Linked DNA regions of Elephas maximus indicus. The protein of the gene in region 1 interacts with the protein of each later gene in a biochemical or structural test. Links are inferred from orthologs where the notes say so. Each region holds a gene or a part of one and is shown on either strand. Other genes may lie near its edges. The genes, in order: LEF1 and TLE1.

The links.
Region 2: the proteins of LEF1 (region 1) and TLE1 form a complex in vitro, tested with the Homo sapiens proteins (2 studies listed by BioGRID and IntAct, with this or other methods). The link is inferred for Elephas maximus indicus from reciprocal best matches to the Homo sapiens genes LEF1 and TLE1.

What each region holds. Positions count from the first base shown.
Region 1 is NC_064823.1:43,112,762-43,127,770, reverse strand, and holds the start of LEF1 (lymphoid enhancer-binding factor 1), read right to left. Parts: upstream 6,844-15,009; 5' UTR 5,633-6,843; coding exon 5,420-5,632; intron 4,841-5,419; exon of another isoform or gene 4,178-4,840; coding exon of another isoform or gene 4,169-4,177; intron 2,958-4,168; coding exon 2,891-2,957; intron 1,443-2,890; coding exon 1,309-1,442; intron 1-1,308. UniProt on the Homo sapiens protein: Transcription factor that binds DNA in a sequence-specific manner. Participates in the Wnt signaling pathway. Activates transcription of target genes in the presence of CTNNB1 and EP300.
Region 2 is NC_064827.1:98,612,363-98,627,836, forward strand, and holds the start of TLE1 (transducin-like enhancer protein 1), read right to left. Parts: upstream 6,663-15,474; 5' UTR 5,302-6,662; coding exon 5,278-5,301; intron 4,511-5,277; coding exon 4,410-4,510; intron 2,942-4,409; coding exon 2,878-2,941; intron 2,763-2,877; coding exon 2,718-2,762; intron 1-2,717. UniProt on the Homo sapiens protein: Transcriptional corepressor that binds to a number of transcription factors. Inhibits NF-kappa-B-regulated gene expression. Inhibits the transcriptional activation mediated by FOXA2, and by CTNNB1 and TCF family members in Wnt signaling.

The DNA.
Region 1 (15,009 bases):
ATGTTAAATGCCCATCTCCTCTAAAATCATCATGAAGTTCTCCCAGCTCAACTTTAGTTGTAATATGAAAATTACAAAAATCTTATTTTCCACCTGAAAGGTCAAAGATCTGCTTGAAATTTGTAGAAAAATAATTAAAATAACTTCTAAATCACAGGGCCCACGCAAAGCAGTTATGATATTTCATATAGCTATCATTTCAACAGTTGAGAACTACGGATAATCAAGATAACCACAAGTACTCCTGTTTGTTGATACTGTTGATTATGGTCCGCTAGTTTAGAGCATCTTCTCCCTCCCAGATTCTATTCACTACGGTATCAACAACAACACTTTCCTCAGATATTGTGACTGATATTTCCGCTGGTGGCAACACTGAGCGAATAAGGCAAGAACAAGGCAAAAATCACTGGTTTCATTTCAGGATCCTGGATTTGAACCCAGGGGGGCCAGTTAAACTGAAACCCTAATGCCCAAGACCTAGCCACACGTGGTTTTGATCCCAGGTGGGTGGCAGAAGAAAAGTGAGGCTGCAGAGAGAGAAGGTAAATGTATCGATGGATCAGTAAAAATCCATCACCACCACTGCAGGGACAATTCTCAGGCCCTTGGGAGAACAACTCAAGCACCAGTACACTGCCCATACTACACAAGTTCCCCTTTAAATGTTTTCTTACAACATGTAAGAGATTATTTACACTTCCCAAGAAATGAAAATATCATCAAGTAGCATACCTGAAATTCTAATGACTTATATTTTTAGAACTTTGAAAGCTAACTGAATTACCAGATTTAAAAAAAAGGAATAATTTTCATTAGAGTTATCTTCAAGTGATACACTCTCAGCAACTTAAAGTAAAAACAGCTGATCATCCCCACAAGTGATGTTAAAACCCTACGTCAACTATTTCTCTAAAGCTGATTCTAGACAGCTTATGGGCAGTGAAACCTATCCCATACCTAGCTGACAGCAAGATTAAATCAACTTTTTCTTCTCATCAGTCTAAAATGTACAATACTCACAACACCATGGATTTGTTGATTTAACTTCATTTGATTTCACGATGACTCATAATCTGTTATTTATTAATCCTAACCAATAAGCCAACAGCTAAAATTCCAAGGGCAAGACATCAAATGTAGCACTATTTCAAGGCAACCATTCATCATAATGGTCCTAATTAAGCAATGATTGGTCATATACAATAATGAAAGAATTTCCAATGTGTTTGAAAAGATAAACATTCTGCCGAAATACAAATTCATTTGTACCTCTGAAATACTCTACAACATCAGGGTGTTACTCACTGTTCTCGGGATGGGCGGAGAAAGAGATCCATTTGACATGTATGGGTCGTTATTCATGTTTGGCATCATTATGTACCCGGAATAACCCGAGTAGGAGGGTCCCTTGTTGTAGAGGCCTCCATCTGGATGCTTTCCTGGGAGAGTCCAAAGAACAATCAATGATATGGTACCGTCCCTTTGTATATCACCGTAGTTTTTCATCTGAAAATCTGATAATTCTAAGAAAATCTGGCCATACGTAAAAGATTTACAAAATACCGTAACTGCATTACCATGTTCTATTGCAGATCGACACTATTTATTCTCTTAAATGGTTTAGCAGCAAACCAGATGTTTTAAAAACATGTGGTTCAATTTACTTCCACTATTGACTGGTGTTTTTACAAAAGTAAGTGTTATCCATCTAACTTAATTTCTTCTAATACTAACAAACTGGACTAAAAAATAAAGACACATGAAAGAACATACACAAATCTAAGGCTATAATATAAATACATTAGGCCGTCTACCTACACACACACACACACACACACACACACACAATTACATTTCACCTCACAGGCAAACTGAAAAATTCTACCTCGGCTTTTGGATTTCTGAAAGAGAACTATTTTACTAAGAGGGAGTTGTACCCTAGTATTTGGGCAACTACCCAAATTTATGAAGGATTAACTACAGGATTTTTATGTGCTTCACTTACATCATTCTGTCAAAGTAATTTGTGTGTGTTCAGTATATAGATTTCTTCTTTTTCATCTGTGTAACCATTTGTAGCTGAAAAGGAAGCCTGCTATTATAGTTCTCTTCCCTTCTTTGAAATACTGTATGTATGAACACTTCATTCTGGTCAGGCCAATTTTAAGTAATTAAAGGAGAACAGAAATGCAGACCAGTGGACAAGGAAATCCTACAGATTGCCTGGCTCTTTCAAAGTCAGAGGGAGTTCACCTTAAATCTCAAAAATAGGTAATTTTAAAAGTTTTGAGCAAGAATCAGAAATGGGGAGACAGTCTGGTTATCATGTTTGATATGCCTAATTCCTAACTATAGGAATAAAACTGTATTTTTCAAGTTAGGTTCTGCTTTCCTAAGCCTTGTGCAGTTTCTGCATTCACTGCTGCCTTCTCACACAATAACACGACTCAAGAAACACCAATTTTGCAAATGAAAAGCCATTCAAAACTCTTCTTGTTTTAAAATAAAACAGACTGTCATCCTTCATAATAATACACAGAAAAAAAATACTAAAGATCTAAGCTATTTCAAAATTAAGGTAAAATGAAGAAAAGAGAAAAATTCATTATAGACGTTTCCTTCCCCCAAAGAATCTGGAAACCAACTGAAATCCAAAAGCTGCTAACTCACTCAAAGACATTTTTTAAATGATACAAATATACATTAGAGATAAGCCGTAACTTTCCTGGGTTTTCTTCCCAATTTTGTGAAAACAGTCAACACAGTCTTATCACATCTGGTTTGGGTTTCTTGAACTCAAATAAAAGTAGCCAAGCATCTATAAACACAAACGGTTTATGTTAAATTATAAAGTTTGAAGAAGTAGAATCTATCATCAGTGTCTTACCTTCATCAGGGTGTTCTCTGGCCTTGTCATGGTAGGACTCCTGAGAGGTTTGAGCTTGTCTGGCCACCTAACAGCATGAATCCCCACCCCCAAAAGAAAGAAAAGCACCTTAGAGTTTTTGACAATAATAATATAACGGTGTGCCCACTGGTTACTCAGAGGAGGTGGTTTAGGGGCAACCCAATCCGCCTGTGTTATTAATCCAAGAAGGGCAGGCTAGGGTTGAATAGTAGGAAATCTTTTCCCTCTTTTATTCAGCTTGTATTTTGGAGTGACTATCATCTTTTTTTTTTTTTTTTATCATCTACTCAGAATTGTAATGTATAATAATAACAAAATACTAGCAATATAGTAAATTTGGGAATCATCCACATACTGTTCTGTTTCCTAAAACACATCAAGGCTACTTGGAGGCCTAACATGATAGGTGTTTGAGTTAATGGGGTGAGTGTCCTGATAGCCTCTTCAGCCTCTGTTTGCTTCGGTCAGAGCTGATTAAAAGCATGCTGAAACACTTTGCAACTCAAAGTGACATTTTAAACATAAGCAAGGCAACCACTCATACATGAGGTTCTAATGCCGCTGGCCTCATCAAAGTCCTGCAGGAGCTCCACTCCAGCTCCGTATCTACCATGGCTGGCTGCATGCATGCTTACAAGAGAAAAGTACAACTATTTTGCGGTTATAGGGAGGAAAATTAGACAGTCAGGTTACAGACATCTAAAAGGCAGCCCAGTTACCTATCAGTTCTGGTAACCACCATCCACCCAGACTCAACCACGTGCAAATCAGTGGTATTACCCCTTCACCATCTTCCTTTACCGTAGGGCTGCCCTATGCCCCCTCGCCACCGTGGCAAAGATTAGCAAAACCCTATTACCCTGGTACTCGCTTCAAACGCAGTCTTTCTTCCCAGACGAGAGAAGTGTACAAAAATTTGAAGCGGGTGGCAAAATTTATGTAGGGACTAAGGAAGGTCATGGAAAATGAGTAGAAAGAAAAAAGGGGGGCTTCTCTTTAAATATGAGAGTTTGGCAAAAAGCGTCTGAGTGTTTCGGACGTTAGGTGGTCCCTCTCACACATGTCCTTTCAGGGACCTCCTCTCCCCAATACATATATAGCCACAAACGTTTAAAGTGGAGTTGGGTGCACCTCCGTCACCCTGAACTCTCCTCAAACTGGCATATTGCGATAAAAGATTCATGGGATAAAGAACATTCTTGTGCCCTGTGCCCTCCTCAGAACCCGGGCCCCCAGCCTTCCAAAATGTGTACTCACCCCTGCCATTTGGATAGAGAGCTTAACTCTGAGGTGTTCTTAAACGTGTTGTTTAAAACCCCAAATTTCCCCGCCCCCAAAACCACAAGCTTTCTTTTTTGGGGCAGAAGGATGCCATTTAAGGAAAAAGGGTATACCCTCCAAGTTTCTTTGGAGGGAAAAAGCGTTGGTGAAATCATTTGGGTGTCAAGACTCTTCTACCGGATTTCCTCCAAAGGTTTCTCAGTTGTTGAATTAAGGGTGGCCAATTGAGTGTCAGGTATCAGGGTCCATCCGCCTCCACCCCCATCGAAAAGTCTCCGCGCCGCCCGAAATAGCCCTCCGACGCTGGCCTGCTCCCGGCTTTCTCTTGTCGGCACCCACGTGTCTCTATTTACTCTACTCGGGTTACCAGCGCTATCGCCCCCACCGGGCCAGGAGATCTGATAAAGCGCCTTCCACCCTCCCCTGAGAGGTGCCCCGGCTTCCGGCGCATCTCTTCCAAGACTCGCCTTTCTTCTGCAAAGATTTCAGGCCTGATCCGGGCCCAAACTAACCTCAAATATAAATGCTTTTTTTTTTTTTGAGTAACTGGAGTTGGAGAAATAGAGTGTGCGGGCGGTAAGACGACGTCCCCCTGGGGTGGCTCGGCTGGTCTTGCCCACAGATCCCACAGCGCATCTGGCCCTTGGGACTCTGGGGCGGCAAGGACCTGGCCCCGCACCGCCCCCGCGCGCCCCTCTGCGGGCCGCTCGGCGGCGGTTGGGACTGCCCGCCTGCCCCCGGCCCACTCCCGCCCCCCTTCCTCTCGCTCTGCCGGTCTCCACCTAAGCCTTTTGGTGGTTTAACGCACTTCTGCAGAGACATCTACCGAAAAAGATAGCGGGTGCACTTTGTTTTCCGTCCTATGGAAGAACTTTTCAGCAGTGCTGTTCAGACACTCTCGCTCTAATTCATCACACTCCCTCAACCGCACCAAAATGTCCGGAGGTGAAACGTTATAGGTTAAGGGCAGCTTTTCCTGCCCGCAAGACAACGGCTCACCCACCGAACCCCTAAACTGATCCACTTGGTGTAAGCTGCCCTGCACGCCCCCGACACGACAAAAGGGGAATGTAGACTAAGGGCCACCATCCCCCTAAAAGTTTAAACGCTGGCGCTACTGCAGCCCCGTCAGACGGGACTATCCCACGCCTTCTCCCCCTTCCTTCTTCTCCTCTTCCCCAGGACCCAGCCGCGCTTCTCGGGGTTTTGGGACAGCCGCCCGCTCACCTCGTGTCCGTTGCTGGCTGGGATGATTTCGGATTCATTGACCAAGGAAGACTTGATGTCGGCTAAGTCGCCTTCCTCTTCGGGGTGACTGATCTCGGCGAAGATCTTCTCCTTCTGGGGGTCGCCCTCGTCCTTAAAGGGGATCATCTCGTCCGTGGCGCAGAGTTCCGGGTCCCCCCCGCCGCCACCGCCTCCCCCGGAGAGCTGGGGCATCCCGACGGCTGTGTAATCTCCGCTCGGCTTGAGGAGCACCCGCGGCGACAGCAGCAAAGAGAGGCGGTCAACGAAAAGGAGGGAGGGAGGGAAAGGAGAGTTGGAAGGGTGCGTGAGAGAGGAGAGCGAGCGGAAGCGGAGCCGGCAAGTGCGGGGCCGCCAGCCGGCAGCCGGAGCAGCTGCGGCGGCGCTGGAGCTCCGGCGGCCGCCCGCGCCTTCCCGCTCTGCGGAGACCGACGCCGGCGCCCGCCCCCGAGGCCGAAGGGCACGGAGCTAAGAAGGCAGCCGCGGCCGGCGCCTCTGGGGGCGTCTGAGCCGCGCGCGCGCTAGGCTATGCTGCCCGGGCCTGGGCGGCCACCCCACACCCCCCGCGTCGCCGGGGTCTGCGCGCGGAGCACGCTGGTTCTGCCCAGGGATAGACTCGCGAAAATGCAAAGGAGGGTCCGTCAGCGCGTCGTGGCGCAAACCTCTCCACCGTATCTTCCAGAGATGCCGATGTGGGAGTGTGTTTTCCGAGAAAAGGGGAGTTGGACAAAAAGACTCGGTTCACCCTAGCGGAGAAGGCGCAAGGAGAATCAGAAGTTAACGCAATGTCCACTTCCTGGAGGGGTTAAAAAAAAAAAAAAAAAAAGAGCAACCAGGGTTGGAGGTGTCCGTTTTAGAGCTTATTTCCTTCCCTTTCGACTCAGTTTTCCTTCTCGAGGCGCATTTAATCTGCTGGAGGAGGAGGAGAAGAAGGCGGGGGCGGAGTAGGAGTGGAAGAGAAAGAGAAGAACTTTGCCAAGAATAAAGTTTGTGCCGCCGAGCGCTGGGACAAGACAGTGGAGGGAGCGGCGGGGTCTCGGGAGTCACAGCAGGGGTCTCGGTCCCAAATGCTTCTGCCCAGAGTTCGAGTCGACGCACACACAGCCAGACCCCTCTTTGTTCCCGGCTCGAGTTTCTCAGCCTGGCTCGTAGACTCTCTCTCTCGCCGCTCTCCACGCCTCCGCGAGGCCCGCTCTGTCAAAGCAAATAGCTGCGCTCCTCGGGTTCCCTCGGCCGAGGGGTAAAGGAGGTCCCGAGATTGGTCGCGTGCGGGGCTCCGGGAACGTCCGGACTCCCCGACTCCAGAGCGCGCAGTCCGAGTTCCTCCTCCGCGCCCTGCCCCGCAGGTGAGCGGCTGCGCCTCCCCACCGCTTCTCCTCCTCCCGCGCCACGCCGGCGCTGAAAAGCTACACACTTGCGTCGCTTCTCCTCCCCCTCCCCTCCCCCCCGCCTCCAGCTCTTCTTGGCTGCCGGCTCGGAAGGGGGGGGGGGAGGTGCGAGAAGGAGGTGGTGATTGAAGGCTTTTTTTTCCCCCCTTTTCTTTTCCCAGAGCCTGTAGGACTAGTCCTAGTTTTGGGGGGTGTGTGTATGTGTGTGTGTGTGTGTGTGTATGTGTGTGTGTCTGGACGGATGGTCAGGCAACTTGAAGAAAGGAAGGAACGGGCGCTGCTTGTAACCCACGGAGACACTCGCTTTGTCTGCGTGCAACTGACAAACTCTGCGCGACTGGCTTAACTTCATCATCTAAGCATCTCATCCCTTGTCCTTCTCCCCCCACCCCCCCATTCCTCTTCCTCTGGCAGTTTCTCCCCCACCTCCTTTCCGCCTCCCTCACTCCCTCCCTCTCACTGGCCGGGGGAGGAAGATGAAAGAGAAGCCGCCGCCGCTGTGATCGACACCACGTTGATAGATGCTCTGACAGGGGAGATGAGGGGGGAAGCGGGGACAGAGAGAAGGAAAGGGGGAAATATAACAGACCTTCCTCAACTAATAAGGGAGAACGGAAGCAAGAAGCAAGGAAAAAGAGTTGTGGTTTATCACACATACGCTATTTGGAGACAAGGGAGGAGACGTCAGCGAAAATAAAATCTTCAGGCTTACCGAGAAAAATAAGACGAGGAAGAAGCAAAGAAGACTGGATCTTAATTATCGCTTTTAAAACAATATCTCTTTCATTATGTCTTCGCCACGGGATATACGGAGTTACGCTAGATCGCTCGTGGGGTTTTCGAAGATATACACCGCAGTGTGTGTGAACCTCATAGAGAATGAAAAGACAAGCCAAACGGGAAGGGAAAGAGAAGGCAAAAGGACCCAGGAGAGCGAATCCAAGAGAAGAAGGAGGGAGGACTGGGCAGTCCCTGGCACCTTGTACTGCGTGCTCAAAGGGACGCTTGAAGATTCAAATCCGAATCCAACCTCAAAAATTCTTCAGCCTCCACCGTCTCTTTGACGCATTTTGTACAAGTACAGGACTTTTAAGGAGATGCTTTGTGAAAGTTACAGTATAAGGGAAGCTGAAGTTTGAAAACACATTACATTTTGTCCCTTGGCTCTCAAACCCTCAGTTAAAAATCCAGGCAAAATTATTATAGCCAATACAGTAGCCATCTGTAAAACCTCGGAACAGTAAACAGGGGGCAGGAAGAAATGTCTCCATCTCTCTTGAATTGAAAATGAGGGACACACTACGAAATCAGACTTTAGCTTTATTACATAGGAATGACCCTGCAAAGACCCTTCTTTTCTTAATGGGACATTGTAGGCTGGACACTATATACAATACTTTAAATGAGCACTTAAAACTTCATCTACTGGTAACTACTCGTGGGGGTGGGATTTTACTATGGAAGCAATATTTAAAACTGTACCTTTTAAAGACTTCACTCGGTCCCATAGAACATGTAAATTCTACCTGGGGGATTAGAGTAAAATTAAGGGGCTGGTGATGGGAGCCAGGAAGAATAAAACACTAAATCTCCTTTAAATAGCTAGTAATACTATGCCTTAAAGGAGAAAAACAAAAAGAATATTCAGCTAACAGCGTGTCTGTAAGGCAATACTAAAAAGGGTGGAAAGAAACCCAATTTTTGTTCTTTTGGGTGGTGGCAGTATGCAGCTTCTCTTAAAGTTATGCATCACTGTGAGTACAGTGCTCCCCAGAGATGTGAACACGTAGCTATGTCAGACATGTATGCCCTCTGCTCTAAAAGAAATATGGGAAAACAAAGTCAAAAGTCCTCCCACAATTGCGCCAATTCACCTATAGGAAGAGGACTGGAAAATACAATTTCAGCAGAGCAGGCAGAGTAGACCTTCCTTAGCATCAAACTGTCCAGGATTGGGTGGAGGGAGCGAGGAGGTGTGAGCATCACACAGAATGGCCAGAAGGTATTTTCTAGAAGCCCAGGAAAGATTTCTAGAAGCCCAGCGTCGCTGGGTTTTGGGACATCCCCCCCACTCCCGTTTAAGTGTTGCAATTAATTCGAATCCCATTTTCTCCTTAATGTTAATTGTCTGGACTCTCAAAGTCTTTTGGAGCTCAGCTCCAGGTGTCTTGGAGATTAGGAGCTAAAGAGGATGGGAATTTTTGGAACAATAACTAATGGGAATTGTTTACCAGAGGGGCCAAGAGTTGGTGGCCAGTTTGTTATTTTGCTGTAACCTCCTCCTTTGGAAACATTGTTTCTAACGAAATAACCCAACGCCCTGCTTATTGGTGTGACCGTTTGTCCTCCCCGCGGCGTGCGTTGGTGTTGCCTGATGGTTTTTAGCGTTGTTGCAAATCTTCTTATGGGAGGCACTTAGTCTTTAATAGATACCAGGGACCCAAAAATTTTAAAGATTTGTCTGGGAGCGAGTTGGCATTGCCACGTAAAGTGTTTCTTTTAGGGCAAAAAGCGGGGCGTTGCGGGGGGGGGGGGGCACGGTAACCTTAGGAAGACGTTCCCTCTCTCTCCAGGTGTGGTGTAGTCCCTGTCAAGGGCATTTCTGTCGCCGGGTAGCCTCTTCTAATTCAAGTGGGGGCTGCTGTTAGCATATTCAGCCGCCTCCTCCGGTGCCGCGAGTGGGATCCTAGGGCCGGGATGTGGTGGGTGCGGCGCGGGATAAACACCCACTCCCTCCCCTCGGATGTAGAGGCAGGTTGTTCGTGTGAACTCGAGCAAACGACTGGAGGTTGGCTGTTGCAGGTTCACTCCTCCAGGATGTGGGTTTCAGGGGGCGTTTTGATGTGATTTAATTCCGACCGTGAAACAATTGCTAGGGGCTGGCTGGATTGCTGTTGGTTTTTCCCCTCCTGGTGGCTTTGGTTGGTTTGTGTGGGTTTAGTTTGGGAGCGAACAGCGACTTGTTTTATATCAACACTTCCTTCTGCACTGGGCGCCGTAGCAGGCGCTGCGCGTGGGGCCAGGGGATGGGGCTCCCACCCGGCTCCGGGACAGAGGGGGAGGGGGCGAAGACAAGCCTCGCTGCCCACAGAGTAACCGGGGCCCAGCCCCCACTGGGAGGCAGAGGAACAAGGGTAATGACCCACACCCACACCAAAAGACCCCCCCCTCCCCCGGCGCTTTTGCTGCCAAGTCAGTGGATTCTGCTACAAGACACTCAAGTGAGTCCTTAATTACAGGGAGGAAAGAAAAGCGCGGTGTCTTCAGAGTCCTCTCCACCCCCTCGGTCCTAACCCTCCGCCCCTGCTCCGGGTCGTCCCTTTTGTGTGGGCTGGAATCTCTCCCAGACCCAGCTTTGGTGGGATCCCAAAGGATGGAGGTGGTGGGATCCTACGGAAGAGGATGCTCCGAAAGAGAGAAGCGAGGGAGCAGGACTAGAAGAACGAATAACGTGATTCCAGAGGCCGAACTCGGGCACCCTCTGTTCCCTAACCCCAGATTCACCAGGAGACAAGCTGTGGGCATCTTCAGATTAACGGACTTCGCGAGAAGAGAGAAAAGGGGGGGGGGGGGGCGAGGGAAACGGCAGTTTGTGTCCCAGGGGCTCTTCCGCCCCTTGCCTACTCCAAAGACAAACAAACTCAAACCCTCACCCGCCGGGGAAACAGAACTCGTGGGACCGTGAAATGTCGTTCCCAAATCCGGCCGCCTGCGACCGCCAGGCTTCCGCAAGGCCGGCGCCCGTTGGCGTCCGCAGCTCGGTGCAGCCTCGCGCGGGTGGAGCGAGCGGGGCCCGCCTGCGAAGTGTTTGCAACCGCCCGTCCCTTGCGCCCTCCGTGGGCTTCCTTCGCGCTCCTGCGGGTGCGGGGAGAGCTCGGCGCGGGAGGGCCCCGAGGCGCGACCGTCGAAGGGCCGGGTCCTCCCACGGCCGCGAGGGAGAACCACATCTCACTCCACTCTGTGGGCTCTGCCGGCCGATCCTTTGCCAACACGGAGGCCAGAGCCCACGGCCCGAGTCTGCCAGGTGGAAGAAGATTCAAGCCCGGGTGGCCGTGGGCAGGAACAACGGAAGGCGAGGCTGGGGGAGAGCGCAGAGGAATCGGTCAGAAAGAGCCCAGTAATGCGCCCTCGAGAGTCGGTTCCGCGACGGGAACATCCACTAGCCCCCAGCAGGAACCGGAGCTCCTAGGATGGTGCTTGCGGTAGTTACAAACAGTGCATGGGGACCGGCGTTACGTCTCTAAGGGGATTTCCTGGAATGGAACTGGAATGGAGGAGGGAGCTGCAATATATTTGCGGGCCACGAGACGCCTGGCCTAGTGGACCCTACGTGAAATTATCATTTTCCTCCTTTCTGCAAACTTTCTTAGGCGCTTGAACTTGGCGTGGGGACCGACCTCTGGAAGTTGGCAGCTAACACAGAGGAGGCGGCACTCCCCTACTTCCCCTCCCTCCACACCCGGTCCTCGGTGGTCTCCCAAGTAGCCCTCCCCACGGGCCGGGGGCGCGCACTGGATCTGCGGCGCGGACAGGCCGCCCGCGCGCAAGCTGCGCCTTATATCGGCAGAGGGCGGCTCCTGAGCAGGGCCGGGCGCGGCGGCGCAGCCTTTGAAGTCGGGGCGGCTGCCGCTTTCATCCTTTCTTTTTTCCCTCGCAGGCCCCTTTGTGTGACTAAATTTGGCAAGGATATGGAGCCGAGCCAGTCTTTCCACGTGTGCTCCCAGCTCCCAGCTGAGAAGGCCAAGGGTTCTCTTCCGGGTAAGGAGACAGGGAGAAAGATCAAAGAGTTTGGGGAGCTGGATCTGAAATGTGAATTGAAAATAAAAATCAAGCCTGGACACATTCCAGTTTGTAAAGCAAAACCAACCCTCAGCAGAAGCCTTCTCGCTATGGCTCTTTCTCTCTCCCTCTGCTCTCTTGCTTTCCCTGCAACCATCCTTGAGCACATGAAATGAGAAGAACATAGGGAAGCACTTAGTTTCTCCAGATTTTGTTTTGCAGTAATTTTATTAGGGAAAAGATCTTGTTCATAATTACCGTTATGTGAAGCCGAATTTCTTCAGCCATAAATATTGTCTTATTTCAACGTGCTTCCCACTTTCTTCTGCAGCCACGTTTGGGGAGTGAAGACTGACACAACACGTGTGCATATGTCCATTGTGCTGTGGTGCTTTTTGTTTTTCAGGCTCCTGACGGTGGACCGCATGATTTTTTTCCACAGATATCCTGAAAAACCAATGTTGGTATCATTTTTTTTTTTTTTAATCAAAGCACTCACTATCACAGCTGGTCTCTGATTTTGAAACCTTCTTGTTATAGACTGTAGAGATCTTTTCCTACACCAATTAGCCACAAAAATTTGTATCTTTGTGGTTAAAAAACTGTAAAATCCTTTCTTGAGTACACCCCTTGACTGGTATTCTGTTGTTTTGGAGGTAGCCAAAAAGAGAGACAGTTTTGAAGCAGTGTAATGCAAAAAGTCAGAAATGTTGAGTGTGAGGTGGGATCTGCCATCCCCTTTCAAGCCATGTGTGACCTCAGGCAAGTTATTTAGCCTCTTCCAGACTCAGTTTACTCCAAAAAATGGGTGTAATAATAGCCCACTGGACAAGACTGTTGTAAGAATTCAGTGAGATAATGCATGTGAAAGTATGTACAAATTTAAGGTATTATTAGTCCATGAAATGAAGATGATCATTATAAAAAACAAAACAAACAAGCAAAAACCCAACCAGTTCCCTTGGAGTCAGAATCGACTCCTGGTGACCCCGTGTGTGTCAGAGTAGAGCTGGGCTCTCTAAGGTTCCCAGTGACTGATTTTTCACCATGCCTGTCTTCAGTGGCGCCTCCAGCCTCTTGACTCCGCTTGCACCACCCAGGAACTTACCTGTAAATTGCAAAACAGTAACGGATATACTTCTAAAGTACTAGAAAATCTTACCACAGGAGCAAATGGGGATGGTTTCACACGGAAACGTCCACTGCTGTGGCCATCTCCACATCTCTAACAGTAATGTTATGAAGGCCACCAAGATCACACCCCAGCATTTTTTCCGAGAGTGAGTGCTGAGGGAGAAGGAACATTTCAAGGTGAGAGGGAGTTTGCTCTAACTCTGCCTCGTTTTTTATAGTGAGCTTTTAACAGATTCATGGATGGAAAAAAAAAAAAAAGACACTTAAAAACATGGAATTTTTATGTGTGTGTGAGGCATGTGACAGGACTCACAATGGAACTGAAAATAGCCTGAGTAGTATGATGGACTGTCAAAGGGATAATGTATATGTGGATAATATACTAGTAACAATGACAGCAAAAAGAACTTGTGGGAACTGACTGTAAAGGTATATAAGAGGTGTTTCTCGGGACTGTGTAAATCCCATCAGAAATTGTTTTATGTATTTTTAAAATTTTATCATGCTTTAGGTGAAAGTTTACAGTTCAAATTAATTTTTCATTCAAAAATTTATGCACGTATTGCTTTGTGGCATTGGTTGCAATCCCCACAATGTGACAGCACACTCTCCCTTTCCACCTCAGGTTCCCTGTGTCCATTCATCCGGTTCTTGTCCTGTTCTTGTCTATTTGGTCTCATATATTTGATTGAACCAAGAAGCAACATGTGTTATTTTTTGTTTTATAGGTCTGTCTAAGCTTTGTCTGAAAAGTGGGGTTTGGGAGTGGTTTCAGTTCTGAGTTAGCAGAGTGTCCAGGGGCTATAGTCTAGAGGATTCCTCCAGTCTCTGTCAGACCAGTAAGTCTGGTCTTTTTTCGTGAACTTGAATTGTGTTCTACATTTTTCTCCCGTTGTGTCCAGGACTTTCTGTTGTGATCCGTCAGAACAGTTGGTGGTGGTAGCCAGGCACCATCTAGTTCTTCTGAGCTCAGGCTGGTGGGGTCTCTGGTTCATGTGGTCCCTTAGTCCTTTAGCTAATATTTTCCGTGTGTCTGGTTTTCTTCATTCTCCTTTGCTCTGGGCAGGATGGGACCAATAAATGTATCTTAGATGGCTGCTCACAAGCTTTTAAGATCCCAGATGCTACTCACCAAAGTGGGATGTAGAACATTTTCTTTATGCACTACGTTATGCCAGTTGGCCTAGATGTCCCCAGAGACTATGGTCCCCAGCCCCCAGCCCCAGCTACTTGGTCCCTCAAAGTGTTTGTATGTGTCTAGGAAACTTGTATGCTTTTGTTTTGGCCCAGTTGTACCGACTTTATATTGTGCGTTGTCTTTCCCTTCACCAAAGTTGACACTTGTCTGCCATTTAGTTAGTGATTTCCCCTCCTGTTCCCTCCCTACCCCCCCAACCACCAAAGAATGTTTTTTTCTGTGTGTAAACCTTTCCTTGATTTCTTATAATAGTGGTCTTATGCAATATTTGACCTTTTGTGACTGACTTATTTCACTCGGGATAATGCCCCCCAGATTCATCCATGTTGTGAGATGTTTCCCGGATTCATCATTGTTCTTTATCGTTGTGTAGTGTTCCATTGTGTGTACGTACCATAGTTTGTTTATCCATTCACCAGTTGAATGGAGAACTCATGTTTTAGAACAGAATGTGTTTACATATCTCAGGCTCGAGGCATCTTAAGTTTACAGTGCAATAAAGATTATGGCTCCGGCTAGCTGTGAAGTGAAAGGAGCACCACATGGCAGTACTTAGGGCATTTAGCCATGTGTGCGTCATGTGGGATCCTTTCTAACCTAAGGTAACACCACCAGTGGAGTCTTTTCTTGGGTTCAACCTCCCAATATAAACTCATCAATGTGACCTGTATACAAAATGATGAAAGTAGGGGTGGAGGTGGCTTCCAGTGCTTCTGTCTCCTCCTGCCCATTCACTGTGGCCCAAGGCTGCCCGGGGCGCAGATCCCTCCTGAGATGCTCCATCTCTTCTGGCTGTCTCCTGATAGCAGCAACACTCAGCCTTTCCAAATAGTGTTGAAGGGGCTCTGTAGCATTTTGGGGGGGTACTTACGAGACACCTTTTGCTTCTATAAACATATTTTGCCCCCAAATATCCCAGATTAGAAGTGGGTGCTGATCAAGTTTCCTGGTCAGCTAAGTTCCTCCCTTTAACTCTTCTTTACAAGTGCAGCCATTTTGAAATGTTTTCTTGGCCAACAGAGGAGTTTGGGCCAAGGCATCCAGGGTTCTGTCTTGCTTTGAGGGAACAGTGG
Region 2 (15,474 bases), on another chromosome or scaffold:
AGTAAAGCTTATCAGGAAGTGTTGACACAACATAAACATGGACTGCGGGCACCAAACCAAGGAAGGAAACCACAATTATACCATTCTTGATTTGGACGCACTTCCACTTTAAAACTTCCAGACAGAAAGAATACTTGGCGGTGAGACTTGACACTGAAATCTCTCAAGCTCGCTCCTCTGACAGACCCGCTGAAAGGTGGGAAGGGAGGGCGGTCGTCACACAGGAGACAAATCTTAACAACATTAAAGCTTTCTCCACTGAAAGTTTCCCCATCACTGCATTTTTTTCAGTAACAAAGATGTTGTCAGAAATGACAATTTTTTGTGTCCCCTGATGATGCCTTGCTAGCATTTGGTTATAAGCCATAAAGCAGGAATAATTTCAGCCTGTCAGGAGTCTCACTAATGCCCAGTTTCCCCCTAGAGAGAATTCCTGTCAAATCTAATGAGAGCTCCAAAGGCCCTCTCTACAATATAATGAGCACTTAGGCCATGCTGGTGATCAGGCGGCAAAAAGCATCAATTTGAGCCTGGCTACACCCTGGGGGCCAGACGTCACCGGTTTTAATAAGAATTATGATTACTAGCTGCACCAAATGCCTCCTCAGAGCTTATTATTAATGCGTGACATTCAGAAGGATGTTTTTCAAATGTAAGGCCACTTTAAACTGAATTAGAGCACTGCTTTGCACACCACTCCAGATAAGGGTCTGTCAGCATTTACAATATAAACTGAATTTCGGGGGGCTTAATACCCCACTATAAAGAACACGGTGCCTGTCTCTCAGCTTTTCACATTTGTCAAATTACTGAGCCAGTTATACACAGCATAGAACTAATGCATACAGGCTCAGGGACAGGCACTATAGACCCACCAATGCCTGATGGAATACAGGAACTCATCAGAAAACTATTTCCACACCAGGAGGCTTCTGGCATTCTTTGCCCCTTCTTCCTAATCAGTAAGGAAAAGTAAAGGTCACTCCGCCATGTAACGAACCCAGAAGAATTACACACCTCCTTTTTTTTTTTTTTTAGTGCCCTCCATAAATCCAGCACCAACATACTACATTACAGGAGTGGTGTTCCCTTGTAAATTAGTCAGGGAGCTTATTAAATCCTCTTGAGTTTATGAGCTTAAGAGAAAGCTCAGTTTCCTCTTATTCTTTCAGTATATCTGCTACCAAAAGAGTACCTTTCAGATTAATTTTTTTTTAACAAAAAAGCGACAAGTTAAAACTCCTAGGCCAAGTTTATTTGCATAATTCATTTAAATGACTGAAGCTTAGCCATAGATCTTCGAGCTCAATTATCAACAAGTTACAACTACCTCAATAGGGCACTAGCCATCCAAACACACAAAAACAAAGGCGAAACCCAACACAAACTCGGTTACCAACTCTGCAAATCAGAGTAACATCGGCTTTTTAAAAAGCTCAATTATATTACTGATAAAAGGCCCTGACCTTAACTATCTCCATCCAAATACATATCTGAGAACACATCTACTGTATGAGATAACATTATGAAATCTACGATGAATTAAAAATCAAAGAGGGCAGAGCTACAAAAGCAGAATTCAACTCTGAAACACACTTGCTTAATGAAACTCTTTGAATATAAGGAAGATCTGAAGGCTGAACTAATCAATTTCTCCACTGTGCCCCAGCCGGTCAGCCATGCTCTTTAATTTAATGAAACAAGGGTTTCAGATGAAATAGCACATATACATCAAGTAAGAATTGTATTGTTGCACTTTGAAATGTGTCCAACTGTGCAACTTCATCTGATGATAATTTTTTTAAGAGGCAATCGATTTCTAAAAGACTTATTGTACCAGCGTCTTGATGAAAAAGTGAATGTCAGCATATCTCCGGAATACTTACACCCTGCCATTAATGCTTTCTTTGGCAGACAATGACTACTCAATCAAGGGTCCTTTGGGCTGAGCAATCATTTAGCTTTTCTTCTCTTACGAGGTCCTTAGTGCCTTGTTCCAGCTCAATACTCTTTTTATACACCATTATAGTAGCCATAAGTGTGAATTTTATGGGAACTTGCAAACTCATAGTCATAGCTAAAGCTTTCCAGTCACTAATCTTTTCATGCTTTTAAAACCACTAGGACTGAAGGAACTCCCAACATATGCTGTGGCCATAAAGAGGTGCTTTTTTCCTGTCCAAACCTGCATCAACCGAGGCATTTTTCAAAAAGACATTTGCTAATAAGCCACCGAATCTGGGTGTCTCTTTATGCAGTCCCAAAGCACCAAGGGAACTCCAGAGTTAGTCACATACCTTGTTTCAGGCAATTAGAGAAACTCTTTGAATACCCTCCTCGCCCCCGCAGGTCCATATTTCTTTTCGAAACCAAAACCAGCACAAAAGCAGCTATTCTCAACTTCAGCAACTCTAAAGGATACCCAGATCTTTCAAGAGGAGAATAAATCTATCCCGATTGAAAAGTAAATTCACAGTCTCAATTCCTATCTGCCTATAAACAGACAAGTTTATATTTCCTAAGCTCTCACCTTGTCATGTAAACATCCTATAACTGTCAAGAAATAACCCTTGCTGCAGAATATTACACCAATTCACAGGAAGGGAAACCAAGGCAGAAAAAAGGCTTACAAAACCCCCCACTACTGAGGACAAAGCCAGTATAAAATCATAATGAACTAATTTCTCATTTCAGCTTTGTACGTAACTAAAGCTTACCTGTTTGTGCATTTCAATGTTTAATCCATATGACATTTCATAATACTGTAAAGAAAAAAAAGCATTAAGCATTTCATTAACTCACGTTCTTGTAACGCTAAGAACACATATCTGCTAATATTTATATGAAAAAAAAAAAAGCCCAAACTTTGATACCTACCATCACATAGTGTCTCTGCATTTCTGTCTTTTCACTTGCCAGCTTCTCACATTCCAATTTAAGGCTATGAAAACAAAACAGGCAACTTAATGTAAACATTATGTCACTTGTTTTAACATCTGCCTCACATATTTGCACTCCAAGTAAAAACACAGATCAATTTGGAAAAGCCATAAACTATCTAGGTAAACACCCAAAAGCTTTGTCCTTGCATTTAGTATGGAAAAGGAATAATAAGGTAAACAGTACAAACTACCCACTCAGCTACCACTCTTTTTCTTCTTGGTCACAGGCGACAAGATGGAAAAACTCATCAAAACCTCTGACCTACCCAGAAGACTGATTTCTTCTTCCTGACCATTTATTCACTCCTACTTTCCTGCCTCACACTGTTTCCCTGATCCCACCAATATAGTCTTTGCACCATTTTCAGAAATAGGCTGTGTCATCTTAGCCAACTCAAACAACAGGCTCTAGGTTTGAAAGCCTGTAAAGTTTTTCTATAATTGTTGGTGTCTTTTAGAACCTCTGGTTTTGAAATGCCTGCCGAAATATGTCAAGTAGCTACTGCAGTGAAGTGGGTGGAAGTTGTCCCTGCTCAGTAAACTTGGTGTGAGCAGGTATGCCTCAGGCTCTAGAGATATCATCTGTGAGGAGACAAAAGGTCAATAATCAGAAAGCCCCTGGAAAAAAAAAAAAATCAGAAAATTTACACCCAAGCCACTTAGCTTCATCTGTGTGCCTTTTCCATGTACCACAAAAAATAAAAACTGTCATGACAGTTATTTCGTAGCTCCAACCAGCTAAGACTTCATAAGAGTAAGAGGAGGAACTAACGTTTCTGTAAAGTCCACCATGGGCCAGATACTTTACAGTTTTCACTTATAAATCATTTCAAGGCAGGTATCCTTAGATGAGAAAACTAAAGCTGAGATGGATATAAAAGTGTGACTCCAATCTCCTGTCCTGCCCAAACCTATTTAGAAAGATGCCAAAGCAGAGAGCTTTCTCCTACACACTACCCCCTCCCCCACCCAGTCCCAATCAACGCCAATGATGGACACAGCTAAAAGCATCTAGCCTTCCACGGTGGACTTTGCCTCAGACAATCCAATTCCCTAGTATGACAAGCAGTTATTTCAACACTGGCTTTGCCTCCATGAACCCACACTCCAGGGCTAAGGCATCGATTGAATCAACGTTTTAGCTCAGCCTGTTGCAAAATAACTAAATGAAGTGCAAATATTGACGGTTCTCATGCAACTCCTAAATGCACGAAAAAGGACTCCCTGGAACAGCAGCAAACGGGCAAAAGGGAAACAATGGAAGCAGGAGGAGACAAGAGAAGAGGCGGCCTGGGAAGAGCCAGGAAAGGGGGAAACGTGAATGACAGGTCTTAACTTCGACTCCACACGCCACCGCCTGGACGCACGTACTAAGTACAGCAGCCGCCACCGGGCTGGGCGAGGGGCACCGGGACGTTGCAGATGGACTCCTCGACAACCACTCGCACGGCGCGGCCGGACACGCACCTGTGATACTGTGCCTGCAGGAACTGGAATTCCTCCTTGATCCGGTCCAATGACTCCGGGATCGTGAACTTGAAGGGCTGGCCTGCAGCCTGGTGCGGCGTCTGAGGGCGAGCATCGAGGGGGACGGAGAGATAGGGGTGCGGGCAGATAAAGCAGTCAGTAAGAACAAGGAGTGAGTGGGGCATAAAAACAACAATAATAATAAAGTTAAAAATGGCCCAAAACGAAAACCCGAACTGCACTTTACGACTCACTTTGGAGAGAGAAAAGAGGACACTTCCCTGGCCCCCAGCTTCTAAAGAGGCTCAGAGTCTCTTCCAGCCTTCGGGAAGGTTGGCGGTAAGCGCCCCCAGGTCACATGGCCGAGCAAGGGGGGCTCCCGGAGGCCGGGGCGGACCGGGTCAAATTGTCGTCGCCGTGCCTGGTCCCTCTTCCCCACAGGGGCGATAACGACCCCCGTAACCGCAGGAAAAAAACAACTCCCTTACGCTCCCCGTTCCCAGAGTCGTCGGGGCCACCTCCGGGGGCGCCGGAACGGGGGCCGCATTGACATGTAAATAAGCGAGACCAGAAACAAAGGGGGGCGCCCCCAACCGAACTCGGAGAAGGGGGGAGGATGTGGCTGCGGGAGAGAAACCCCAGCCTCCCTGGGCGCCCCCTCTGCCCAGTCTAGACAAGTGGAAGGAGGCCAAGAGTTTCAGCCCACTCCCCACGCTGAGGAGGCGGCCCGGGACCTCCCTAGCCTCAAATCCGTGGAGGGGTTCGCTAGGTTGTAACAACTACCCATTTCCCTATGGCAAAGGAACAGTGCCTCACGCACCCACAAACCTGCCCCAACGTCCCCCCCACCCACCGGGCCGCGCCTCACCGGGTGCCGGCTCTGCGGGAACATAGCTCTGGCGGCGGCCGCGGCTCTGTTCCCGGGCAACTGAATTCTCCGCTCAATTTCCAACTTTAATCCCGCCGAGAAAAATTAAGCCGAGAAGGCAGGCAGAAGCGGGACACGCAGGGGGCGGGGGGCGCCCTGGCCACGCAAGCAGGCGCGCTCGGCGGGGCGCACCGGCCACTCGGCGCCAGCGGCTGCTCCTGCTCCCGCCGGTGCGGGCTCCCGGGAGCGCTCAGGGCCACATCACGGGCCCCCTAGGCCCGGCAGCTCCAAGAACCTGCGCGGCGACGCTGGCGCCCGAAGAGTAGGCACAGGGCCCACGTTCCAACCCTCGGGCCTCGACTGCCGGGGCGGGGAGGTGGGGGCTCGGCGACTTCGGCCGCGCTCCCCTCGGCGATCCGAGCGCGCGGCGCCCGTCCTGGGCAAACAAATCCAGGCGTGTGGCTTTTCTTTGCTTTTCTCCTGGTCCGTCTCCTCTCTGGATTTTCCCCGCGGCGGCGGCGGCGGGCGAGGTGCAGGTGGCGCCCCGGCTTACCCCACACAAACAAACCCAGAGACTATCGTAGCCGACCACTGGCTACGCCGTTGGCCGGGCGCTTGCTAGCTGCCTAGAGGCGGCGTGGAACGACGCCGGGGGCGCGGTGGAGGCTCCGCGCCCTGCGCTCCGCAGCCTCAGCACAGCCCGGGGAGCGCGGGATGACGCCGAGGCGGGGAAAGTGCGGAGGGTGCGCCGGGAGGAGGCTCGGCACGCCCCGTGCGCCCGGCACTCGGTGTTCTCTGCGCTTGCACAAACCCTCCCGGCCCGACGGGGCTACTCCGCGGAGAGCAGCCCCGCAGCCGTCCGCTGCTCCTCGAGCCCCAGGCGCATCCGGGCGCCGCGCCCTGCTCGTAGTCGCTCCGCACGGCTGCTCCGGACCGTTCCTCCGAGCCCCTTCTTCGATCCTCTTTCTTTCCTTCTCTTCGCTTGCGCCTCCGCAAACGGCGCTCCGGCCGGCTGCAAAGTTCTCTCACGACCCCGGGGATGACATCAACGAGATAGCGGGGAGAAAAGCAAGAGTGCGCGCCGCTCGGCCTCCCTCTTCGGCGGGCAAACTCCGCGGGCGAGCCCGGAGTAGCCGCGGCGGCGGCAGTTGGCGGGGTTTGGTCGCCGCGGGGCGGCGGAGATCAGGAGTGGTGGCGCTGGTCCCGCTCGGTGGGGGTGGCGCAGTCGGCCGGCTCGGGGGCGCGGGGTACCCGACGCTGCTGCTCCTGCAGCCGCCGCCGCCGCCCGCGCCTCTCGCGCCGGTTACATTAACACGCGGTTTCACACTCCGGAGCTAACCAGCGCCGGCCCCGCCCAGCCCCGCGCGGGCGGGGGCGCGAGCGCGGAGCCGGCGGGGGACGCGGGCCCGAGCGAGGAGGGGCCGCGGAGAGACCAGCGTCAGCCAATCGCGCGCGCCGCGCCCAACGTGGGGTGCTGACGTCGAGACTTCCCGGAGCCTATGGCAGCGCAGCGCCGGACGGGCAGCCCGCGTCTCCCCTTCTCTGCCGCCCCACTCGCTTCCATCTCCGCCGTCTCTCCTGTCTCCCCCCACCCCCGCTCCTCCTCCGCCAGCCGCGTCCTCCCGGGCTTGGTGAGGAAGTGTTCCTGAAGGAGCCGCGGGACTCTGGAGCCAGCCAATAGGAAGCGGCGAGACGCGGAGATTGGCACTGAGGATGGGAAGGTCGGTGGGAAGGAGAGCCGCGAGGCCGGGCTGTCAATCAAAGTAACGTGGGGCCAGCGAGGGAGCGCGCGAGCGCGCGCGAGCGGGAGGGACCGGCGAGCGTGCAGTCGCGGAAGCTGGGGGCTCCACTTAGCAAAAATCCTGCCACTTGTTCACTTTTTCCTTCAATGAAAATCCTCAGATCTCAGTAACTCAGAGACTAACTGCGTAGCTTCTTATGAGGGGGAAGAGGGGAACTCTTTGATATTTCAAGCCAAACACGTCTTTCGGTGCTGGCCCCTTGTTTGATGCCATTCTTTTGAAAGTGAAAGGTCACATTCAAATATTTTTGCGGTTTGTTTGTTTTTTGTATTTTTTTCCGGAAAGCTGCCTTTTCACGGATGCGCGAGGAAGGGTGAACTGTGCAGTTGGGGGAAAATGCATAATGGGCAAAGCTTTGACTGGCGTAGGTACACCAGCCGCATGATGCCCACTCGGCTTTGCACCCAAAGTTGTAGAATTTGATTCTTATTGGAGGATTTCAAATACTTTGCAAAAAGGTTCACCTGCCTTCGTTTGGCGGGAAGGATCCCCAAGGTGCCGCCAGGGTAAGGCACGCGTGTCCCAGGCGTAGATGCGATGCTCTGCCCGGGGCGCGAAATCTCGGTTCCTTGCCTTAAAAGTCCAGATTTCGCTATGTGTGTGTGTTGGGGGGGGTGGGGGCGGCGAGAGTTTTAGGAGCCTTGCAGCAACATGACCACGAGTCTGTTTCCAATTCCTGGGAACAAAGGGAGACAATGGAATAAACCAACACTGAGACCTGAAAAACCTGTCCCGCCCACCCCACCCCCATAGTTTGGATGGTACCCGGGCTGAGCTGTATAAGGAGCTAAATGGAAAGAGCTGAATAAATGACATGGCTAAAATTCTTAGGAGATGAAACTTGAGTTAAAAAGGGATTTTCAGATTTTTTTTTTCCTAGCCTTTTTTTAAATTGTACTTTAAAGATTTACAGAACAAATGGATTTTGAGATTTTTAAATAAATAGAGCATGTTGTATAATTAATATTAAGAGTCTCCAGTTTTTCTCTATTTCTCTAAATACACCACACGGCAGAAAACCTTCAATGTTGTCACGTTTCCACTTTTAACGGACAATTCAGATAAGCTATTTCCACATGATCCATGAGTGAATAATGCTGTTTTATCCAAGTAATAATGACTGCTTTCATGAGAAACACCCATCTTTGACAAGCATTCATCTTATGTTAGAACCTAACAACCTAACAAATTTGGGGTATTAATAACCCCAAGTTCCCTTTTTTTTTTTTTTTTTTTACTTTTAAGAGACTTGTGGGAAGGCACATACCTAAACACAAATAGATTTTATTCAAAAATATACAGAGACTTTTTTTCTTGAAATAGCCAATCATTTTAGATAATACATTTCACTGGTTCGTTTGTTTTAAAATACTGATACTGATTTAGCCATAATTGCATCAGTCCTAAATACCAATTGTAAATGAAAAAATAAAAGTGATTTTAGGCAGCCTGCATAGGCCATAGCTTAAACAAGTTCAGCAGTGTAGCTTTGCAGCACTCTTTTTAAGTGGGGTGAGGGAGAAGGTTATATTATTCTTTAGCTAACAGTTAACATGGAGTATGAAAGAGAAGGGAACACTGCCTCTCCTTTAATGGTTAAATTTGGTGACGAGAAGAGCAGACTTGCTCCACAGACAGAACTTTTTAAAATCATGGGATCCGTGGGCAGTGAAGCTTTGTCCTGTGGCAACCTGTGTTCCTTGAAATCATCTCCTAATGGTGGTGCCATATCCGCCAGTGTCCGGTCAGCTCATCTCGTAATCAGCTCCAGGACTGGATGGAAGGTGCTTGCGTGCCACGAAAATGCCTGTAGGCGCTGGGACAACTGTGGTAGCTGACACATCTCCCTGGTACCCAGTTTTACCTACCTGAACTTGCTGACATCCCAGTAATTAAGCATACAGAAAGAAATTAAAAGTGTATTTTGGGACCGGAGCAAGAAGTATTGCTCCTTCTCGTCTCTCGCCACCACACACCCCTCAGAATCAGTTCTGACATGTTGTCCTTAAATGTTTTCTATCATAGCTATTCACTCACTGTTTGCCGTGGGTAAAAATTGTGATTTCTCTTTTGACTAGTGCTTTCTTACCAGTGGAGTTTAAAACACCAGGCCTTCTGATTTACTTAAAACGGAGTTTTTGGAGAAAAGAAAGAACAATGATTTTAAAATTAGAAGACCTTCATTTGTAGCTTAAAAATGCTTGGTTTTCGGTGGCTTTCTCACACAGAGCATCCTCCTTGAGAGGGAGAAGGCTCTGCCTCTTTTCAAGGTCGTATTTTCTCCGTGATTGTCATGCTGAAATAATTATACTACAAAACTCTCATCAAACTGCATCACAAATGATGGTGTTTAAACAATCAAGTAGCTTTAATCTTATGTTTTAAATGAATAATATATGTGTAGATTGCCTACAGTCTGTTTAAAAGAAAATAGTTCTACTCATGAAATCTGTAATTTTGGTCTTCTGTCACTGGGTTGGGTTTTATTTAAAGTCTGTTAACCATAATCTTCTTTACCTTTAGCATATTCATATGTTGATGATGATTTTACATGAAATAATGTCAAGTATGCCACTTTCACAGGAAATTGTCTCTGAAAAAAACGGTATACTTTTTCATTTTCCGCAGAGGACACAGAAAGATTGTCAGATAGTTTATTTTATCATAGATGCGTATATGGGTATATTTCCATTCATTTGCTGCTGAGTATCAAACATTTCAACTCACCAGTAGCATAAACAAAAACACAGAGGTACAAATCCTTTGCCGTCCAGTAGATTCCGACTCATGGCAACCCCGTGTGTCACACAATAGAACTGCTCCATAGGGTTTCCTTAGCTGGAATTATTACAAAAGCAGATCTCCAGGCCTTTCTTCTGTGGTGCCACCAGGCGAGTTTGCACTTCCAGCCTTTGGGTTAGTAGTTGAGTGCAAACTGTTTTTGCCACCCAGGGACCTTATATCGATAGTATAAATAATAAGCAGTTATCAAAACTAGGTGATAGTCTAGGTGCTAAACACAACAGGAAAAATTGTGGGTATTTGATCATAGAAATTATTCATCTTCTTTTAAATTACTGTTTTATTTGAAATAAATAATGTGCCAGTCTTTGAAAAGCCACCTTTGTCATTATCTTTTTCCTTTTAGCTGAGTTATAGTTTTATATATTTGACCTTTTTTTTTTTTAAAACTGGAAGTTTCCTTTAAACCCAAGGATATAGGATCCATAAGCACTTTTCCCAGCATTGCTTTTTAACCTTTTTCTCCCCGCTTCTTTGCCAAAGAACAAGGGAGAGGAAAAGAAGGAGAGAAAGAAGGCAAAAAAGGAAAAAAAAAATCAGTAGCAGATCCATGAAGCAGTAAAACCTCAAATAAAATTACATCCAAAGAATCTCTTGTGGTTTCACACAATATGGTAAAATTAGAGATTGCAGGAAACCTAAACTAAATTGAACTGGGAGCATTTGAAGAGAAATGAGTAGACTTTATGAAAATGACACATTGACTGGCCAGTATGCTTTTTTTTATCAACAATTTCTTTGTTAAGACGCAGATCAAAGGAACCTGCATGTGTTTTCATTTTGTTCTAAGTAGAAAATTACATCCAGATGTTTAATAGGCATTGGGTTGGTTTTTCAGCATTGATTAGATATGTTGGTTCTGTTTGCTTACAAGTGTAGCCGGATCATTAGCTAATGCAAAGAAATGTTTGCTGTGAGTTGCTAATTAGGTCTTTTGGAAATGCTCCACGCTCAAGAACAATTTGTACAGTGGCCAGGAGAACTTGTGGGACTTGGGGGAAGTTTTTTTCCCTTCTCTGTGAGGGTGGGAAGAGGCAGACAGCCCCATCCCCTAATCTCCCTTTGCCCTACGGGGATTGCAGTGCGATCCCCTGAGGATTGGAGTGCAAATAAATTAGGACAAGAGACCACACAGGCACTTCCAAACACAGAGATAGATATGTGTGCTCTTTCTGAAACCACAGCCTGGCTGTCTTTGTGGGTGGGGGGCACGAACCTCTAACACTGAACATTAACACGTGGAAGATGCTTGATGCTAATGTTATCAAATACACAGCATTTTTAAGCATCCTTTAGAGACAGATGGGGAGCCCTTTATGATAAATGAGTGTACTTGAATTCATTACTGTAGTACTTATCATTAAAAATGTCTCCTCTGCAATTTCAGTACTTTCACAGGGTCTGAGAGACCAAGCTTGGGAGCAGGAAGGCTGGGATAGTAAAAGGAGTAAAGGAGAGGAATTTTGGAGACAGAGCTGAGCCTGGGAGGAAATCAAGTGTTTACTTTCACAGCCCACCCATTTGTTTACCTTGTTTAAGCCCCAAAACTTGTAGGAGATTAGCCATTCACTCTGCATTCAAATAAACTGAGCATCTGAGGCACCAGAGGGATAAACTTCTTAGCTGGCCCATCATGCTTTTAAAACTCCTGACTGTGTCAGTGGCCTGCAGAACACCACCTCACCCAGGACCAAGCGTGTGTTTATTTAAATCTATATTCTAGAGAGATATCAGTCCAAAATAAAATAGCATGTGTTTATCAACAATCATAAAAGTGCAGATATGAATGCCATTGTAGCCTGTTCTTCTGCCTTTTAATGCCTCCTTAGAAGCCTGTTTGCATTTTATGCACAAGTATGGCACACTCCTTTGTGTTAAAGGCAGTCTGATAAATTTAGCATTTAGAATAAAACAGATTCAGGATTACTTTCTTTCAAATAGTTTCAGCGGTGTACAGTTCTGTCAGAGCTTTTCAAGCCCACCAGCAGGATGTCCTTGAAAAGCAAGGACAGTATTTGGGGGCAGCAGCAAATACCTGCCTGGAGCTCAGACCATAATAATGAAGTCAGTCCCCCCTCCCTCCTTAACCCATTCTAATGTTTCAGAGTTGAGGTAATACAACTTTTTTTTTTAATTCCTTTAGTTTAGCATTCAGCCAGATAAGAGCTGAGGGCCTTTTGGTAGACAAAAGAAAAAGTAGCTAAAGGAAGCACCTTTGATGCCTCTTCCTGCATATTCGCATAACAAGAGCAGACCTTGGTCCCTTAATACAGGGATCATTCTAAGCTGCAGACCGAGGACTTTCTATAAAGTCAGTGTTACACTGAGATGCCTTTCTTTGAATATCAAGAGCTTTTGCTGTGTCAGTATCATTTAAATAGAATTTCTTCCTGAAGCTAGCAATTTCTTCAAAGGGTTAAAACTTGTTTTTGTTGTTGTTAACTGTTAGTGGATTCCAACCCTAATGGATGATCTCTTGGTGTTCTGCATAGTGGAGGGCAGAGGAGCTTTGGGGTTGTGAAGGCAAGTGGCGATTGCAGAAACCGTCACAGTTTCTAGAATGCAGGGTTGAGGCCTAGGTGAACAAGTTAAATGGCCTAAATTTAGAATGCGGGACATTCCACAAGACAACTGGCCTGGGCTCTTAAAAAAAAGTGGGGAGGACTAAAGACACAAAATGAAAACGCAACATGCAAATCTTGCGGCCCCTGGTTTAAAGACAAAACTATGAAAGACCTTCTTGGGGGCAGTTTTAATGTGGACTGGATATCAGGTAAACAGTGGTTTTTTAGATGTGAGATAATTGCGCTTATGTTGGGGGATGTTCTTACCCTAAGAAGATGCATTTGAAGCATACAATTCAAATGATGTCTGAACTGCAAATAAACTGTGTGTGTGTGGAGAGAGAGAAAAGAGAAAGCAAGTTTGGCAAAATGTTAATAGTTACAGAATTTCAGGGTAGAGTATTCAGCTCTTGGTTTTGCTATTCTTTCAACTTTTCTGTATGTTTGAAATTTTTCATGATAAGAGATTTCGGAAAAAAACTTTTAGGCTCATCGTCTCCATCTTTTCCTTCATTCCCCCCCCCCCCCCAAAAAAAACCCACTGCCCTCTAGTTGATTCTAACTCATAGCAACCCTATACAACAGAGTAGAACAGCTCCTAGAGTTTCCAAGGAGCACCTGGCAGATTTGAACTGCCACCCTCTTTGTTAGCAGCCATAGCACTTAACCACTATGCCACCAGGATTTCCTTTTCCTTCATATGTTAGATGAATTCTCTTCATGGTTACAAGAATGGCCTCTAATGTTTCTAGTTAAAAAAGCACTAAAAAATGGTGATCTTATTTATTTATTTTCTTGGTCATGGAAAGCTATCATACTGATAACCAAAGTACTACACAGAGTTGTAGCGCTGGATCTTTTAGTTCTTTTATTATTTATGCTATTTGTTTTTTGTCTGTTTCTATCCACTACCACCCACCTCCCCTCCCCCTCACAGTCTCAAATGTCCATTAGTTGTCGATTAATATAAAATGGAAATCTTTAAATAAATTAGGGCATTACATTAGCAATCCTCTAATGTGTCATTTTGTGGGCCATCAAGCTCAGAATCACCAGAAAATCTACTATAAAATCAAGAGGAAAATTGCTTACATGTTAAGAATAAGACAGTAGCAAATAAATTTTATTTTAATTTCTTAATTTTCATTATTTACTGGCCTTTTTATCACTAGAGCTTAGTAGTGGTATATAGTTTGCTTTTTAAAGTCCCTAGTTTTAAATATATTGCTGAAACAGATTATAGCTCTGTGTACTAAGCTTTAAATATTAACCTTAAAAAGAAATGAATTTAGCATTAAATCTTGGATACTGAGGTTGAGTCCTTTAGATTCACAGAGGTATATGTTTATCATGTGCTAATAAAGGGCTCTACCACCTGTCTGTCAGTTTGTACTGTGGTCGCTTACGTGTTACTACGATGCTGGAGGCTATGTCACCAATATTTCAAATACCAGCAGGGTCACTCCAGATGGAGAGGTTTCAGCAGAGATTCCAGACTAAAACAGACTAGGAAGAAAGGGCTGATGATCTACTTCTGAAAATTAGCCAACAAAAACCCTCTGGATCACTGTTCTCTGATATAGTACTAGAAGATGACTACCCCTGGGTTGGAACCAAAAAAACCAAACCAAACCCAGTGCCATTGAGTCTATTCCGACTCATAGCAACCCTTTAAAAAAAAAAAGAAAAAAAAAAATTTTTTTTTTTTTTTAGGACAGAGTAAAACTGCCCCATAGAGTTTCCAGGGAGCGCCTGGTGGATTTGAACTGCTGACCCTTTGGTTAGCAGCCGTAGCACCTAACTACTACGCCACCAGGGTTTCCCTATAGGTTGGAATGCATTCAAAATATGCAATAACCACAATGGACTCGAGTATACCAAAGATGGTGACCTTGGAACAGGAGCAGACAATATTTCATTCTTTTGTACACGGGGTCACTGTGAGTAGGGATAGCTGTGAGCTGGAGCCAACTCAACAACAAGAAATAAATAGGTAGTTTTCCCAAAAAGTCATGAAAAGTGATAAGGTGTAATCTGAGAGTTGAAAGTTCAGATGCCTTGTAGATCAAATTTTTTTTCTTCAATCATAGCTATTTAGCATGGTTTTGTTTTTCTTATCACCATTATGCTTACTGAAGGGAGAATTTTTTTGTGACATTGGTTAAGCAGATTCTAGTTTGTGTGTAAACAGATTGAATCCACAATTTCCAAGGAAAAACCTGAGTGCCTCAAAGGGAAGCAAGTACTAAAATAAAGGGAAAACAGCATTATCTCACCCCCAGTGACTAATCAGTCCGTCCAGTATTTCTAGCCATCATCCACAGAATTGATGATTATTTAAAATGAAAATGATTAAAAAAACTTCTGCTTCACCATGACAGAAAAAGCCCCAAGGGAACAGAGTTTTGGTTTCCCCATTAGCAGCCTCCACACTTCAGAAGAACTGGCAAGCTACAATTGGCACTTGAAAAAGTGTTACAAAACACTGACAAGTATTAGAGAAATGTTGATGAATGTAAACTGCCTGCCTCAAGGAATAATACCTTTCTGAAGGAAACTGGTTTTCAAATTAGCATTCCTATGGAGACAGGTATCTTCAGGTAACCCCAGTGCACTGGGTCTTTTTTATAGAGACAGGTATCTTCAGGTAACCCCAGTAGGTGTTTCAAGAGAAGTTATTTGCCTCTGAAGGATAGAGGAGAGAGTGTCATCCTATTTACATCTTTAATTACTGAAAATTTGAAGAAAAAAAAGAAGTCATAGATGAAAAAGTTAGGAAGATTCCTTCTTTTTCCCCTGTACCAGTTTTACAGTGGATTCTCTCACCGTACGCATCTCTTATATTTAAGTATTCCATTATTTGTTTACTGAGCACTTGCTGTGTGTGGCAGACACTGTTCTATGTGCTTTACATGTTTGTATTACCTCATTTGATCCTCAGATCTTTCCCATTAGGTGAGTACTGTTATCATCCCTTTTTCAGTGACAAGCAATCTGAAGCCTAGGACTTGCCAGACTTGAAGACCAGG